Linked DNA regions of Alligator mississippiensis. The protein of the gene in region 1 binds, or shares a complex with, the protein of each later gene. Links are inferred from orthologs where the notes say so. Each region holds a gene or a part of one and is shown in the gene's direction. Other genes may lie near its edges. The genes, in order: CD40 and CD40LG.

Region 1 (7,663 bases):
GGCAACAAGCAGAGGAAGGAGCCATCTTCCAGGTCTAACAAGGCAAACGTCACGAGACCTCCAGCGAACGAGGACCAGGTCCCAGGAGAGAGCAAAGCGTGCGCGGCCCCTGGGACCCGCCGTCCCTCGCCCCCGCTCCACCCCGCCCGGGGCAGAGCAGGGCCTGCCGCCGCGCGGACCGGAGGTGTCGCCCCGCCGGGCCGGGCCAGGCCGGGCCCCGCTCGCGCTACGGAGCCGTGCTCCACAGCGCCGCCGCCGGCCCGGGCCGGGCCCCGCGCGCCTCAGGGCGCTGGGACAAGCGGGACAAGACCCCCGCGCCCCGCCGCCCCTCACACCAGCCCGCCCCCCCGCCCGCCGCCGGCGGCACCACGGCCCCGCCCCGCCCCGCCCCGGGGACGGGCTCCGGCGGCCCCGCGCGGGGACCAGCGCCCCTGCAGGCTCCGGCGGCGGCCGCCACGTCCGGCTCCTCGCCCCCCGCCGCCGCCGCCGCGCGGAGGAGACGGGCCGGGCCGCTGCCCACCGGGGCCCGCTCCGCGCAGCGCGGACGAGCAGGGAGTGCCCCCCCCGCGAGACGTCCCGACACGACCCCCACGACGCGGCCGCACAGCGCACACCCCGCGGCCCGGACACCCTGTCACGGGAGCCCCGCGGCGGGCGGGCGGGCGCGGCCCGGCCCGGCAGAGGCGGCGGGAGGCCGAGAAAGGGCAACACTGCGCGGACGCGGTTCTTTGTCAGGCTTTTATTGGCGAAGGACTCGCGGGGCCCGCGCCCCCCCGGCCCCGCCCCGCCCCGCCCCGCCGCGGCCGCACTTACCGCCGGGCCCGGAGCCGCCGCCGCCGCGAGGACAAAGGCGCCAACCGCCCCCACAGCCGCTGCCGGAAAGCGAGACGGGACGGGGCAGGGGGCGGGGCCGCGACAGTGCCGCGCTTTACGGCACGGCCCGGTCACGTGGCCCGCCCGCCATGACGCACGCCGGGCGGCCGCGACAAAATGGCAGGCGCGCTCCGGCTCCCGGCGGCCCGTGCGGCAGCGGCCCCGCCCCGGGGCATGCTGGGGCATGTAGTCCCCAGGGGCTGCTGCGGGCCGCTCCCAAGCACCCCCTTTCCCCCACCGGGCCACGGCCACGGCCCGCCACTGTCCCGCGAGCTGCACCCCCGCGCCACGCCTGCGCTGCCTCCCCGCCTGGGAGGCTAGTCTGTAGCCTCCCCACGCGAAGGAGAGCGGCCCGTGGCGTGGAGGGCTGGGCCCGCGACTCCGAAGGTGGACAGACAGAGCACCCCTGCCAGCCTGGTAACCCGGGCCTGGGCCACGGCCACCCCGCCACGAGTGCCCCCGCCAGCCTTTGTGTCCTTGCTCCTAGTCCTGCCCCCTGCGGCCCCAGAGAAGAGCCGTCTCCATCCTGTCACAGCCCTTCAGGGCCTGGAAAACTGATCAAATCCCTGCTCCAGATTCAGCCCCAGCTCCTTGCCACTCCTGCCTCCGCCATGTTCTTGCTCTGCACTGGACTGTCCGTGGCAGACGTCCCCGTGGGGGGCAGCTGTGCCCTCTCCACCCCGCGGCAGGGCAACAGCGGCCGCGGGCACAGCACGGGGGAGTTCCCCTCCCTGCTCTGTGGCTCGCGTGGGCCCTGCCTGCAAACGCCCAAGTTCACGTCCGTGGCGGCTGCGCCCCGCGATGGCCACTGGGTGGCACCACGAGACCCCGCTCCCAGCCGCGCGGCTCCGGTGCGGGGGGCGCAGGCGAGACAACTCTCGGGCTCCCGGGGCTGGGCGCAGGCACTGCGCGGCTGCACTTTGCACAGCGCCTCCCGCATCCCCTGACTCCGGGAGCCGAGGCTTTTGCCGCTGGCCACGTGGTGCCAGCGACAGCCAAGGGGCCCGCTGCGTCGGTGCCCTGGCACGGACGGCCCTGATGCCAGCCCCGGCACTGCTCTGCCAGGAAGGGGCTGGAGCGGGCGGTTACGTCGACGCAGCGGGGGGCTGCTGGTGCTGGCGGGCTGGAAACAGCCCCCACAAGGGCCCTCGGGCGCCGGGCGGCCGTGGGAGCCGAGGGCCGGCCGGCCGGCAGAGGCTGCCTGGGCAGCCGAGCCGCAGGGCGGTGCGGGATTTCCCAGGCCCTGGTGCGAGCCCAGGCCCGGAAAGCCCCTCCCTCCCGCTCTGGTCTGGAGACACCCCTGGGACCTCTGCTTGGCACTTGAGACGCTGTTCTGGGAAGTGACGCGGCCCGCAGCCGGCAGAGCCTCCCTTCCCCTCCTGCCTCGCTCCAGCTGCGCCTGGCAGGGGCTGGGGCCAGGCACCACGGCGGGGGAGGGCACCACGCCGCCCTGCCACAGGCCCCGGCAGAGGGACGGCGCCGAGGGGAGCGCGGCTCACCCTCACACAGCCACCGGGCCGCGGGGCCAGGGACACGGGCACTGCTGGGCACTGCCCCGCGGGCGCACTGCAGCCACGTGAAAGGCATGGGGCCATTGCGCTGATGCCCCGGGCAGGGACAGCCCCGTCGCATCCTGTCTGCTGGCCGCATGGGTGTCTGTGGGCAGTCTGTGGCCGGAGGAGGGAGGGGGTGGGTGGCGAGGCTGCTGCCCTCCTGCTGGGCCTGCCGTCCGCGCGTGGGTGGCTGGGCAGAGTGCAGCTGGGGACCGACCCTCGCCCCCCAAGCACGGATGCGGGGCAAGAGCGGAGCGGAAAGGGTCCCCCCAGCCTGACAGGCCCTGGCACCGCGTAGGGTCCCACGGGCAGGCAGGCGCAGCACTTTGCCCCTTCCTGCCTGGCGTTTGCACTCTCAGGAGAAGCTGGAAAGTTGCAGAGGGAAGTAGGAGCGGGTTGGGAAAGCCTCCTCGTCAGCGGTGCGTGGAACTCCCCCGGGGCTGCCCGGTCCCCGGCCCCGGGGAATCCTCTGCTCCAGGCCCTGTGGACGCCCCGTCCTGGCTCTCTGTGCCCAGGGTCCTGGAGGCAGGAACAGCCCTGCGGGGGCTCTTGATGACGCAGCCCCTTTGACGGCCTGAGAATGCCCAGCCCCTGGTCCCAGCGTCACCCATGTCGCAGCAGTCCCCAGACAGAAGCTGAACTGAAACCCAGCACTTCTGCTTCCAGGATGACTGGCTAGAAAAGCCCGAGAACTGCCCCCACCATCCCCAGTGGCAGCTCTGGCCAACCTCCACTGGCAGCAAGGGGTGTCCAGAGGAGGCCACCCGCACGATCCGGGGGCAGCAGGGCAGGCCCTACGAGGAGAGGTGACGGGACCTGAACCTGTTCAGCCTCCACAAGAGAAGGCTGAGGGGGGACCTGGTGACTGTCTATGAACTCACTAGGGGGGACCAGAAGGGTTTGGGGGAGACCCTGTTTCTCCGAGCGCCCCCCAGGATAACAAGGAGTAACGGCCACAAGTCGTGGGAGAGTAGGTTCAGATTAGACATCTGTAGGAACTACTTCAGTCAGGGCGGCTAGGATCTGGAACCGACTTCCACGGGAAGTGGTGTTGGCTCCTACCTGGGGGTCTTTAAGAAGCGGCTCGATGCCTACCTGCCTGGGGTCACTTGAGCCCGGTTTCTCTCCTGCCCAGGCAGGGGTCGGACCTGAAGATCTACAAGGTCCCGCCCGACCCGACTTCTATGAGTCTATGATGCTATGACACCTCAGGGCTGCTCGTGCCCCCGTGCGGACCCCTGCTTGCTATGCGAGGGCGCCCGCCTGCCACCAGATCGGGCAGACACGGCCGGACACGGGCATGTGGGGCTGCCAGGAGCCCAGGGGAGCCACAGGCTCTGGTGAGGGCAGGGGATCATCCCCGGGCTCTGGACAGCTCTAGGGGCAAAATGGGGGGCAGAAGGATCTGTGGGACAGTGCCACGAGGCCCTGCTCACATGGGCAAGCACGTCGTGGCCTTGCCACGCCCCGGCTTGCAGCCAGGCCAGTGCCTGCCCCTCCGGGGCGCCTGTTCCTGAACCGCCCTGCCCTGGCAAGGAGAAACTCCCATGCTGAGCACGCGCCGGCACCCAGCTCAGGACACAGCGCAGGCCAAGCCGGCCCCGCGGAGCGCGGGACCGCTGGGGCCGGGCAGCTGCCTGCAGGGCAGGCGGGAGGAGGAGGCCACGGGGGCCACAGCAGCTATAGGAGGCCATGCCCCGTGGCTCCCGGCCAGGCCTGCCTGGCACACGGAGCTGTCCTGCCGGACTTCCCTGTGCCAGGAGACCGGGGAGACAGGAGGAGCAGGCCTGTGTCCACGAGCCCCGCAGCCGGGCGCTCGGCACAGCAGAGCACGCACTGGGGTGGCAGCACCCAACGCAGCCCGACGTGCCTGGGCTGCACCCGGGACCGGCTCAGGGATGCTGCGGCGCGTCCCCCCGCATGGGTGCTGCGGCTGCCAGCCTGCCGAGGCCTGTTCTCACCCCACCTCGCTGGCCGGGGGCCAAGGGAAATCCTGGCTGGGCTGCGTGGCCCAGCCCTGGCTGAAGCAGACGGGGAGTTTTTCTGCGGGGGCTGGGCCCCCCCTGCCCTGCCCTGCCCTGCAGCGCGGATTGGATCTGGACAGCCCCAGCCCTTTCCTGGGCGGCCACGGGACTGCAAGTACAAGAGGTAGCCGCCCCGCCGGCGCAGGAGTGTCCCTCGCAGCATGGAGCCCTGCTGTCTGCTCGGCCTCCTCTGGCTACTCTGCCGAGGCCTCTTGGGCGTGAGTTTCACTTTCTCTTCCCTCCCCAGGTGCGACCCACGAGCCAGACCCGGCTGCCAGGCTGCTGCCGGGCTCCACGCACCCCCCGGCCGCCGGTGCAGGGGCTGGAGCGGGCCAGGGAGGCCTTCGAGCCGCTTGGCAGCCTCTGCTAGGACCCCCAGCTCAGCCCTGGCCCATCGGGGCGCAGCGGGGAGGGGGGACCTTGGCGCCTGCCTGGGCAGGGGTGTTGGCGCAGAGGCCGCGGCGAATGGGCGGGGGGAGAGCCGGCGCTGGCTGGGCACTGCCTGGTGTTCGGCTGGACCGGGGAGCCCCGTTCCCAGGGGCCGTGCCTCGGGGACAGCCGTACCTCGATGCCTGTGGGGCAGAGACGGGCTCAGGGCATGCGGGGCAGCTGGGCAGGCCCCCAGGATCCCTTTGCAACCTGGAGGCCCATGGGTGCCAGTGAGGCGTTGGGGGGCCGTGGCCATCCCAGGTCCTCTGCCCTGCACCGGCGAGGGCACCGATTTGTCTCATTCAATTCCCGTGGGCCAGGGAAGGCGCCTGGCCCAGCTTTGGCGACACGGGGGCCCCTGCCTGGGCAGCGGAGCGTGCCGGTGCCGGTGCCGGTGCCCTGCTCGGAGCTTGGGAATCCCTCGATTTCCCAGCACGGCCAGACCCCAGCACGGCTGCCTCTCGCTCCCAGGCCGAAGCAGGCTGCAGGGGACAGGGCTCAGCCGTGCTGCCGCAGAGCCTGGCTGGGCACGGGCACGGGCACGGGCACGGGCTGCGTGCGGGGCAGGAGCGTGGAGAAGGGGCAGGCTGCGGGGGCTGAAGGGACACGGGCTGGGGTGGAGGGGTGGAAGCAGACAGGGCTGCGCGTAGGCGGCGGGGGATCCCAGGCAAGCGGAGGCGTCTCTCGGTTCCCCTTTCGGAGGCATTGACCGTGACCCAGGGTCCCATCCTGCCCGGGGCCCCATCAGGCAGTTCCCTCCCTGAGGGCAGAGCCCCAGCCCCACAGAACCGCCCATGGACCCCGGCTAGGGCACACGCCGCCCCGGACCCTGGTGCCTGGCAGGGCTGAGCCCCAGGGCAGGGGCAGCTGCAGGGGCATCTGCTGCACCGCCGGCCCAGGAGGGTTGTTTGCTTGCCGACAACCCCTGCTGTACTGCTGGGGGAGCCTGGCCCAGCTTCACCCCAGGGAAGGGGCACCCCAGGTCCGCCTGCCAGGCGGGGGCCCAGCACTGCCGCCAGGGGAGGAGGCTGAGCCCTGAGCCACCACCTGGGCTCCCAGCCCTGCCCCTGCCCTGGCTGCCTGCTCAGGCGGGGCAGACACGCGTGGGCCCTGCCTTCGCCAGCTGCTAGGAGATGTGGTCAGGGCACTGACATGTGCCCGCCGCAGCAGAACCGCTGGCATCCCACTTCAGGGAGGCGCGGGCGGCGCGGGGGCGGCAGAGCTCCGGTCCCAGTGGTTGTGGTTATGTGGGCAGGGTGAGAGCGAGCGCAGGGTGCACGGCCCGTGCCAGGCGGCACCGTCCAGGGGAGGGGAGCCAGGTCTGGGGCAGGTGGGAGCCAGGCCTGCGGTGGCTGAGCTCTGTGCTCTGCTCGGTTCCAGCACTCGGCCGCTGGGACGGACATCCGATGCAGTGAGAGGCAGTACGTGCACGAGGGCAGGTGCTGCAACCGCTGCGCCCCAGGTACAGAGCAGATCCCTTCCCTGCCCCTCCCTGCGCCAGAGCCTCGGCCCAGAGGGGACCAGCTCGGCTACCTTGGCCCCAGGGCCAGGACCTGGGCTCGGTGCTGCCTGCAGAGCTGGCCGGTCTCGCCCCCTGTGCCCAGTGGCACCTCCTTGGGTGCTGGGGGCACGGCAGGTGCTGGGCTCCATGGGCAGCTGCACCAGGCAGGAAGCAAACGCGGGTGCTGTGTGTTGCAGGAGAGAAGGTGACGGCTGCATGCAGCGAGGCGTTGGAATGGTCCACCTGTGCCCCCTGCGAGGTGGGGTCCTTCCAGGCCCACTGGACCAAGGAGAATCACTGCATGCCCCACAGATACTGCGACCCCAGTAGGTGCCGGCACAGGGCTGTCTGCCAGGCAGGCAGCAGTCACGCAGCCCTGCCCATGCTCCAGCAGCCCCTGCCACAGGAGGGGCCTGGCCATGGCTGGCTCCGTGGCCCACCTTTCCCTCCCTCCCTTCCTTTGGCAGATGTTGGCCTGGTGGTAAAGACGCCGGGGAGTGAGAAACAGGATGTCACATGTGGCTGCCAGGTGGGCATGCACTGCACCAGCGCCCAGTGCCAGACCTGCAAGCTGAACCCCCGCTGCAAGCCAGGCTTCGGGGTTGTGCCAAGAGGTGAGTGCGGCCTGGCACTTGCAACCCGAGAGGTCACAGGGCCATGCTGCCCTGCACAACCCTGGCTCCCCACCGCCAGGTCACAGCAGCCCCAGCAGGGGCAGGCGAACAGGCCATCGGCTCCGAAGCACAGAGCGGGTGCAGGGACCTCCCAGGGGGTGCAGCCGGCCCTGCTCAGGCAGGCATGCATGCTGCACCTGCTCTGGGGGAGCCTGGCAGACAGGTTGGGGTGTCCTCGTTCGTGCCCCACACCTTCTCCTGCCCCCCCGCCTGCCTGACGCTCACCCCTGCGGTCGTCTCGGCTCTGTTCCAGCCCAGGAGGATGCGCCCCCCACGTGCCAGCCCTGCCCGGACGGCAGCTTCTCCAATGTCACCTCTGACAGCAAGCCATGCCAGCCCTGGAGCAGGTACTGCAGGGTGGGGGTGCGGCGCTGGGAGGTCAGCCAGGGAGGGGAGCGGTGGCTGTGAGTGAGGGAGCCCGGAGACACTTGCCGGCAGGGACACGCCTGGCAAAACCCTGGCTTTCCCTCCATGGTCTGTGGGGTCTGGGCTCATGAAGCCGTGTCCATGCCCACTGCAGATGCGAGGAGCAGGGGCTGGTGATGAAGGAGAATGGGACCCGGAGCTCCGACGTGGTGTGTGGTGAGTGCCAAGACCCCGGGCACCACG
Region 2 (8,199 bases), on another chromosome or scaffold:
CCCTTCCCACCTCTGTGCTTTCGAGAGGGGAACTCCCCAGCCTGTATGTGTGCTGTGGATTCCTTCTCCCAAGGTGCAGCACCCTGCATTTGTCTGCGTTGAACCCCATCCTATTCTCATCTGCCCACTTTTGTAGTCTGTCTAAATCTAGTTGCAGTCTGCCTAAATCTAGTTACATCTCCCTCAGCACCCAGATGACTGCATCCTCCATATGTGGGGTAGATGGGGCAGCACACAGTATGGGCTTTGGCTTTCTTCAAGGCCTTGAAATTATAGCTGCTCATTCCCATCAGTGCCTTGATCCTATCCCACGCTGGCCTAGGCAGTTGAATGCTCTGGCTGGGCTTAGTGGTACTGAGCGACAGTGCTGGGCATCAACAACAGTCTCTCTTTCTCAATTCTCCCAGCAGCCCCAAATGTACCACTTGGACATGGGGAACAAGAGAGCTCTCTGAGATGGAAGCAACAGCTGTCAAGCACTGCTCAGCAAAAAAACCAACAGGGTTTTCTTAGGACGGCTGTGCCCACCCACATCAAAGTTCGCACATGAGTCAACAGCCCTTCCCAGTCAGTGGCATCGAAGGCTTCTGACGGAGCCCAGAGTATTGACGCTGTTCCCAATTCAGCCATAGCAGTTGAAAGGCCTTGCCCAAGCTAGTACCCAGAGTCATAGTGGGGCTGAGAGATCCAAGGCCCCACAGCATTCAGAGTTGTCTTGACATCAGCTTTCCTACACACTTAGCCAAATGAGTTGCAAGGTGATGAGCAGAGGGATGGCTGATGGGAAGTGATGCTTTCTGGAGCAGTGGCTGCACAGATACATCCCCAAGGGGGCACTGACAAGCCTCTATCGGTGGCCCCAACCTCATATCATCCTTTAGATGTCATTGTTCAAAGTGACTTGAAGCCAAGACTTTCAATAGCGACTAGGGTTTCCCATTCAAGATGTCTGAGAAAGGGGCCCAGTTCTCAGAATGGGCTGAACACTTGTCCTTGCTAGCTGAGTTCCCTTTGAGGTGTTTCAAGAGGGACAATCAAAATCTGAGGCCGTCCCAGACACCTGGTTCACATCTTCAGCCTTTTGAACACGGTTCTAGAAGATACTGTCTCCTCCTGCCTCTCCACTCCCTTGAAGGTTGCATGTTAAACAGGCCCCCAGTGTTTTAAGGGTTTCCGGTGTTAGTCAAAAGTTCTGCTCATTTCGGTGAAATAGTTGCTAAGTAGCACTCCAGAAGCAGCTTTCATTTGCAAGTGACAGCCAGGGTTTAGGAATATCTATGCAAAAACCTCAGTGGCTGCTCTTTACAAAACTCATCACTGTGGTTTCACACCTTGTAGACTTAGCTCAGCCTTGACACTGCAGGATTCGGGGAAAGTATTAAGTAATGACTGAAGGTAGCAATTTTTTTTTCTCGTTTTTAAAGAGTTGCCCTCAATACAAGTGTTCACTTCAGAGGAAACTTTGAAGAAGTTGGGGAAATGTGGGTTCTTATCAAATGGTGGAGTCATGGGGTCAGGAATTAGAAACACATTGGTGTGATTTCTGGATCCATCCTGGTGCCTGTCTACACTGCCTCCCGCTAGGGAATGCCACCAAGAAACATGCTCTCCCTGCTTCACCCATGCCAAATGCTACCCACCTGTCATTGAACGATTGTAAGTGTCGGGTGCAAACTAGCTGGGGGTGGGAGAGGCATTGAGCATGCAGTGGGCCATGATAGCAGCTATGGTACATTTTTTCTGGCATCACACGTGGAGCAAGAGCTAGAGGGAGGGGCATGGTCTCATGCTGATGCTTCCTAGCCTGGTCAAAAGGCAGTGAAGACATGCCCACAAGCTTCCTCCGTGACATGTCACTTTATCTTGCCATGTCCCCACTTCCCACCAGCGGAGAAAGCTCTTTTTGTCTCTTAGGCCTGTCTAAATAGTTAACTTCTTGGGCTTGAGAGTGCCTCTAGACTAGATACGAATCCTCAAGTTTTGGAACAAGTCTTTGCAGAGCGCCTAGATCTGCACTGGTAAAGGGGTTAATTAAGTAAAAAAGGATCATAAATGCTGGTCAGGGAGTACCCTCAATGTATGTGTGTGTGTGCATACACTGATTAGGAAGATGGGCCCCTGAACCCCCACTGAGCAACATCGCATGGAAGGCAATGGGAGTCTCTTTCTACTGACTCCAGAAGTCTATGCATCAGGCAGTCTATTTTCTGTCATCATGGTAATAATGATGGTATTTGCCATTCTGTGATATATAAAACTAACAACAGTCCCTTCCCCGAAACATCAGTGGACCAGACCAGGGACATAGAGAAAACAGGATGTTCTGGGGAATCCAGAGGCGGAGGTGACCCGGGACTGAGGGCGTGGAGGAGCCTTTTTGCCTCCTATCAATTTTTCAACCTCACTTCCTGCAGCCCTCGCAGAGGACAGTGTTGTTCAAGAGGCTCTCGTGTGAAGAATGGGCTGGGGCTTGACTAATAAGGGCAGTGAGGTAATTATTTTCACATAGAAATAGCAAAGAAGATACCCTTGTCAGGTTGCTTGTGTGCAAAAGAATCGTGAAATGGAGCTGGTCACTACAAAAAGAGGCTGTTGTGATATTTAGGTTAACATCACCCATGATCACTCACTACAAGTGCTGTATATGTGCGTTATAAGGGGCAGCCCCTACCCTAAAGATGTGATCTAGAGAGATAAGATGGACAAAAGAAGGATAGTCATTTCTACTTACTAGTTGGAGGGGGATGTCCTAAGACAAAGAACTTGCCCAGGGAAACTGGCAGAGTTCCTGAGTCCCAGCCCTATGCTTTAACCACACAGCCTTCCTGCCTTGTATTTTATTCTGTCAATATTAAGACTTCTGGCACTATTGGTGCACCTTGTTTTGCAGTACTAAATTTAGGAGCAGAGTGGTTTGGTGAGCTGCCCAAGGTCAGAGGCAGAGTTGGTGGCAGAGGTGTTTGTGCTTGTTACCAGCATTTGCTTTTGCAGCTAACAACTCTGAACCACACAGGACAGGATGCTGGAGAGTGGGTGTAGAGCTGAAACAAACTTCAGGCCCATCCTGCAAAGTGCTGAGCATTCCCTGCAAGGTACTGAGCATCTTTTACCCCCAGGGCCCTCAGGCAGAGTGGAGCAGAGCTCAGTTTGCTGCTGGCACCACTGATGCTCACACAGGATCTGACTCTTTTAGCTGAAGTGCAAAAGTCTGATAAATTTATAACATTTAACATAGTCTTTGTAAAACAATTTTAACAAAGACCAAACCCTCTGATTTACATTGTAGACAGCAGGTTCCCATGTTACAGCTAAGAGGACTTGGCTGTTTGCAACAGGTGCTCTTTATCTCTCTGGACCAGAGCCCCCACACCAATTATGAATATTGGGGACTTTGCTGGATTAGGCCAATGTTACTACCGTGGTGCCCAGAACCTGGCTGAACCCAGAGTCCCAGTGTGCTGGATGTTGTGCAGACAAGCAGGAGGAGGCTGCCTCTGCCTTCAGGAGCTTACAGTCTGATTTGACAAGCCAGGTGAAGGAAGGGTTTGTTACCCAATGTTACAATTGGGCATCAGAAGCATGGAGAGGTTTGAACCCCCTTGCCCAGGATTGGGTAGGAAGTGCACGGCAGAAATAAATGCAGATTTCCCAAGTCCCCGGCTAGTGCGTTAATTGCTAGAGTTCCCGTGCCTGCCAGGAATGACAGGCTTGGCTTTCTCCCTAAGAGGATCAGGCAGTGGACACAAAAATCTGTGCTGTGCAGCAGCCTGTCTGTATCAGTGAAGACAGACAGCTTTGGGGTGAAGAGCATGGTCAGTGAGAATACAACTGCACAAGACAGCTGGCCAAGATCCCCTGTTCTTCCCACCCTTTTTGGCCAACCCAAGCATAGTGCCTGGGGAGTTTTGCCTGAGCAAGGATTACGGGTTATGCCTCTTGGATCATTGCTTATTTGGGGCTGACTTTCAATGGACTTTCTCTTTTTAAGGACACATTTCATTGCATTTAGCCAGTATGTGCCAGTGGAAGCAGCTTGGGACATCATGGTGCAGTTCAGAAGGCTCAAAGAAAGCTATCTTGAAAAGCAAATAATGGGGAGGAGGTGAAAGCCCCCCCGCTACTGTTATAGTTCTGGTAGCATCAAAAAGCCCCAACAAAGTTGGGGGCCCCACTGGGCCAGCTACCAAAAGAGCTGGTCCCTTTCCCAAGGTGCTTACGTTCTCAAATTCCCTTTCTCAAAAGTGCTTACATTAGACAAAAGGAGTATCACCATCCCCTTTGTACATGTAGTGAAATGAGTTGTAGAGACATTATGTGGCTTGTCCAAAGTCACGCAAGGAGTAGGCAATAAAGCCCAGAACTGCACTTCAAATCAAGTCAGTCCTGAGGCTGCTGTGACCATCAGGGCACCTTAGCTGCTGTGCATCATTGGTGATTCTTTGGGCAAAGTGAACTGGTCTTTATGCATGGATGGCCATTGGTTCACAGGGGGCTCATCTGCCCTTTGAAAGGTCTTGCTTTTAGCTCACGTACCCTCCTCACCCAGGCTAGCCTAGGTTGGTGTGCCAGTTTAGTCACTGACAACCTGACCATGGAACCAGCTGTGCTGGTTTACATGGGACCAGACAGCAGGCCAAGAGAGGCCTGGCCTGGCAGAACTGCACTTGTTTCTCTTGATTTCTAGTTTTTGTCGTAACTACAAACCCATCCTTCCTCTCTCAGGAAAACAATGAGTTAACGAAGGCTCTTTTCCCTTGTTCTGAAACAATTAGTGTTTGACTGTTTCCAACCCTTTTACCACCTTCACTGAAATTCAATCACTTTACTCATGGATTTGTTTCCCTCATTTCTTTGAAGTCATCAGCCGTGAAATGTTTGTCCGCGAAAGGAAAAAAAAGGGGTAATGCTCTAGAGTGTTTCGGGGCAAATATGAATACATGGAATAAGAATATTCAACTGACTCTGACAGAACAATAGGAAAAAGCCTGGAAGTGAGCAGCCGAAGAAAGTTTAAGCAACGTTTTTGTTGTGGGAGATGGTAGTGAACAAACCTCCCCACTACGAAGGGTTTTTTCCAGGAAGTGTGGGCTGTGACAATCTTGCATGCTTTAACTATCTTGAGTCGCGTGTTACCAGGGACAGTTCTTATGCTGCTCATGACTACAACTTTTGAAGAGGAAGCCTCAGCAACGTGAATACAGAATGAATGAACCTTATGCCCCAACGACACCTAGACCTACGAGTACCCGCTCATCAATCAGCATGAAAATTTTGATATGCTTTCTTAGTGTATTTATTGTAGCACAGACTATTGGGACTGCACTGTTTTGCTTATATTTTCACATGCAGTTGGACAAGGTAAGATTAGTAGTAGGACTGTGTTAACTGGACCAGTACTAAAATGATTTACTTTCAGCACAGAGAAAACTGTTGAACAAAGATGAATAATGATGCAAAAGCTGTTAATAATTTTCTTATATAGAAGTGGCATGTATTGCATACATTTTCTTGTTTGGGTCTTAATCTGCCACTTGCTGAAGAAAAAAGATATGTTTAAATTATATAAAGTTCACAGACTTGAATATTTGTACAGAAGATATATTTTGCTAATGAATCATGCAATTAATAAAAGAATTCTGGATCAGCAAAGCGAAGTGTAAATTATATCAAAACAAGTGTATTTGATCAGGTTAAATTCAGAGATGACAGAAAGTATTGCGTTCAAGTCAGTGTGAACACCGTGAATGATGATTCCATGCTCTTTGGGAGTAAATGGATACCTTTTAATTTGTGATAGTATTTAAGACCCAGTTGTATTATGATTTATAGTGACACTTAGAAAGAGAGAGTAATGCCAAAAGCGAATTTTTATGTAAAAGTTTTAGAGTCAGTTTCACTTTACAAATCTTTATACATTAAGAAAAAAAGAGTAGACTTATTTTTAAATAGACACAATCCAAATGGTTTTGCCTTATGCTTCTGAGAATGTTTATTAAAGAATTTGAAATGTAAAAGCTGTTTTCAATGTTGCTGTTGCTCCAGTGGTGGATAAGCCATCTAACGCCACCTTATTTAAAACTAAGTTTTACTCAAACAGCAGCGAAGAGATATAGCAGGAAAGCCAATTAAAATATATATAGAATCAAATGTGTTCAACTTAAACAGTGCAAAAGAATGTTTTTCTTAGTGAAATGTAAAAAAATAATCATTTTAGGTTCACATTCATAATTGAAATGTTAATGAGTGTGGAGTATTCAGTTTGCATATATATGAAGTGTAGAACTGGGCTTCAAAAGTGTAAGTGCGAATGGGGTGTTAGCTATAGCTGTGTTGGTCTAAGGATATAGGCAAACAGGTTATTTGGATAAATGTGACATCTTTTATATTATATCTTTTATTAGACCAATAGTTGGTGTTAGAAGATATCACATTTGCCCAAAGAACCTTGTCTGCCTAAGTGCAACTGGGGAATTAGTCTGTGAGAATCACAGTGGTACAACATTCATACTGGTTTGCAAAATCCTTGTTCTCCTCCAGTTGCACCTTTCTGCCATTTGGCGCTACCAGTAGTATATCTATGGGGGTGTCCAGGTCACCATCCCTGGGTGCTGACTGGAGGGGTGAGGGACAAAAAAAGAGCAACTATTGTGCTTCTGGCCTCACTGTTGGCAACTCCATGTGCCATCACCATCTATAGGGCACTAAATAGCCATTACACCTGCAGACACGATTCAAAGTGAGAGCAGGAGTCAAAGTCTGTCCAGTGGATGGAATGACTGGTTACTGCTGCAGCAATAGAAAATGTCACTTTCCCAAAATTAACAGCATCAACTGGTTTGGTTTTAAAGAAGATGATAATTAGAGGTTGTAGGAAGTTTTTGGCTTTTTAAAAATCTGACTCTACCATTTTACTGTGAACAGCCTGACCTGTAGACTCTCCACTGATGCAGACCTTAGGGAACCTGCTTGGTTTTCAACAGTTTTAACCCCATTTTTTTAAATTAAATTTTGTGATTTTTTTGGGACAAAAAAGTTTCAAAATGACAACTCATTAAAGTTTAGTTTCTAAACATTCTAAAGAAATGATAGAGCTTCCATTTTTTCACATTTTCTGTCTGAAGCTATTACCGAATTTGACCGCAGTTCACAACTAATTTCAGTCTCCTCAAAACCATATTTTTTGGCAAATAAACTCTCCACTAAAAAGAATTTGCCCTGTCCTGGTTATGAGCAGCATCTTTGATTTCACTGGGACAAACTAATTAGAGCAGGTACAGATCCACGTGAGTACCGGCCAGAGATCAAGCCTTTAATGACTGGTCCAGATTTCTGAGCCGATATCTGTTGTCAAGGTGATGCATGTCCTACCTTTTCAAAGGGGGGAGGAGTGGAATGTAATGTGAATTAATACTAAAGACCTGACAGTAGGTTTCACTTGTTGTTGCACAGTTCAGGTAGAAATATGTTGTGAGGTTTAGCCTCCCAGATGCGATGTGAGCAAAATTCCCATTGAAGTGCAAGAGAATTTTGTCTGGGTCTGGACGTCAAGTCATCAAGAGATGTGGGATGGGGGGCTTACCCATTTGTGAATTATCATTTCAGAATAAGGTTTGCCTGTTTTCCTTTGTCACCTGGCCACTCTCCCACTAGCATTCCTTTTACCCTTTCTGTCATCTCGCTTGCAGCTGAAAGATGGGATGAGCTTAAATGAAGATTTCTTATTCCTGAGAAGATTACACGAATGTCAGAAACCAGAAGGTGTGGAATCTTCATTACTGGACTGTAAGAAGATTACAGACAGGTTGAAGCATCTGCTAATGAAGGTAAGAGGCTGGGTCTACACAGGTGCACACACCCGTACACAGTCTTACAAGCTTTATTTAAAAAGCAACTTTGGTGTGCTTTTACATCCTAGGCCAGATTTCAGTCTTAGTTAAATGGAAGTTAAATGGAGACTAACTCCTCTGAAGTCAATGGAATTGCTCTTTTGCAACTGTCGCTAGAATCTGGAAGCCTGATCCTGCCAGCACAACCGCTACCAATCACACGGTGGAAACAAAGGTATAAGGAAATCCTTGTTTGCACTGGCGCTCAGGAATTAGCATAACTGAGGGGAAGCAAGCAGGGCAGCAGCCCTGGGTGCCGCTTTTGTAAGGGGGTGCAAAAGCAGCAGTTGCCGCAGCAGTGTGTGATTGCGCA

What was found.
Region 2: the proteins of CD40 (region 1) and CD40LG are in contact, whole or in part, in a crystal structure (PDB 3QD6), measured with the Homo sapiens proteins. The link is inferred for Alligator mississippiensis from reciprocal best matches to the Homo sapiens genes CD40 and CD40LG. Residues at the interface, in NP_001241.1 of Homo sapiens: Glu64, Ser65, Glu66, His76, Cys77, Gln79, Tyr82, Asp84, Asn86, Leu87, Trp109, Cys119; in NP_000065.1 of Homo sapiens: Ile127, Glu129, Ala130, Lys143, Gly144, Tyr145, Tyr146, Cys178, Pro217, Cys218, Gln220, Ser245, Gln246, Ser248, His249, Gly250, Thr251, Gly252.

Annotation. Positions count from the first base shown.
Region 1 is NC_081832.1:490,511-498,173, reverse strand, and holds the start of CD40 (tumor necrosis factor receptor superfamily member 5), read left to right. Parts: upstream 1-4,416; 5' UTR 4,417-4,611; coding exon 4,612-4,668; intron 4,669-6,259; coding exon 6,260-6,341; intron 6,342-6,577; coding exon 6,578-6,706; intron 6,707-6,847; coding exon 6,848-6,994; intron 6,995-7,307; coding exon 7,308-7,401; intron 7,402-7,574; coding exon 7,575-7,636; intron 7,637-7,663.
Region 2 is NC_081831.1:79,828,424-79,836,622, reverse strand, and holds the start of CD40LG (CD40 ligand), read left to right. Parts: upstream 1-5,159; 5' UTR 5,160-5,202; coding exon 5,203-5,358; intron 5,359-7,685; coding exon 7,686-7,823; intron 7,824-8,199. UniProt on the Homo sapiens protein: Cytokine that acts as a ligand to CD40/TNFRSF5. Costimulates T-cell proliferation and cytokine production.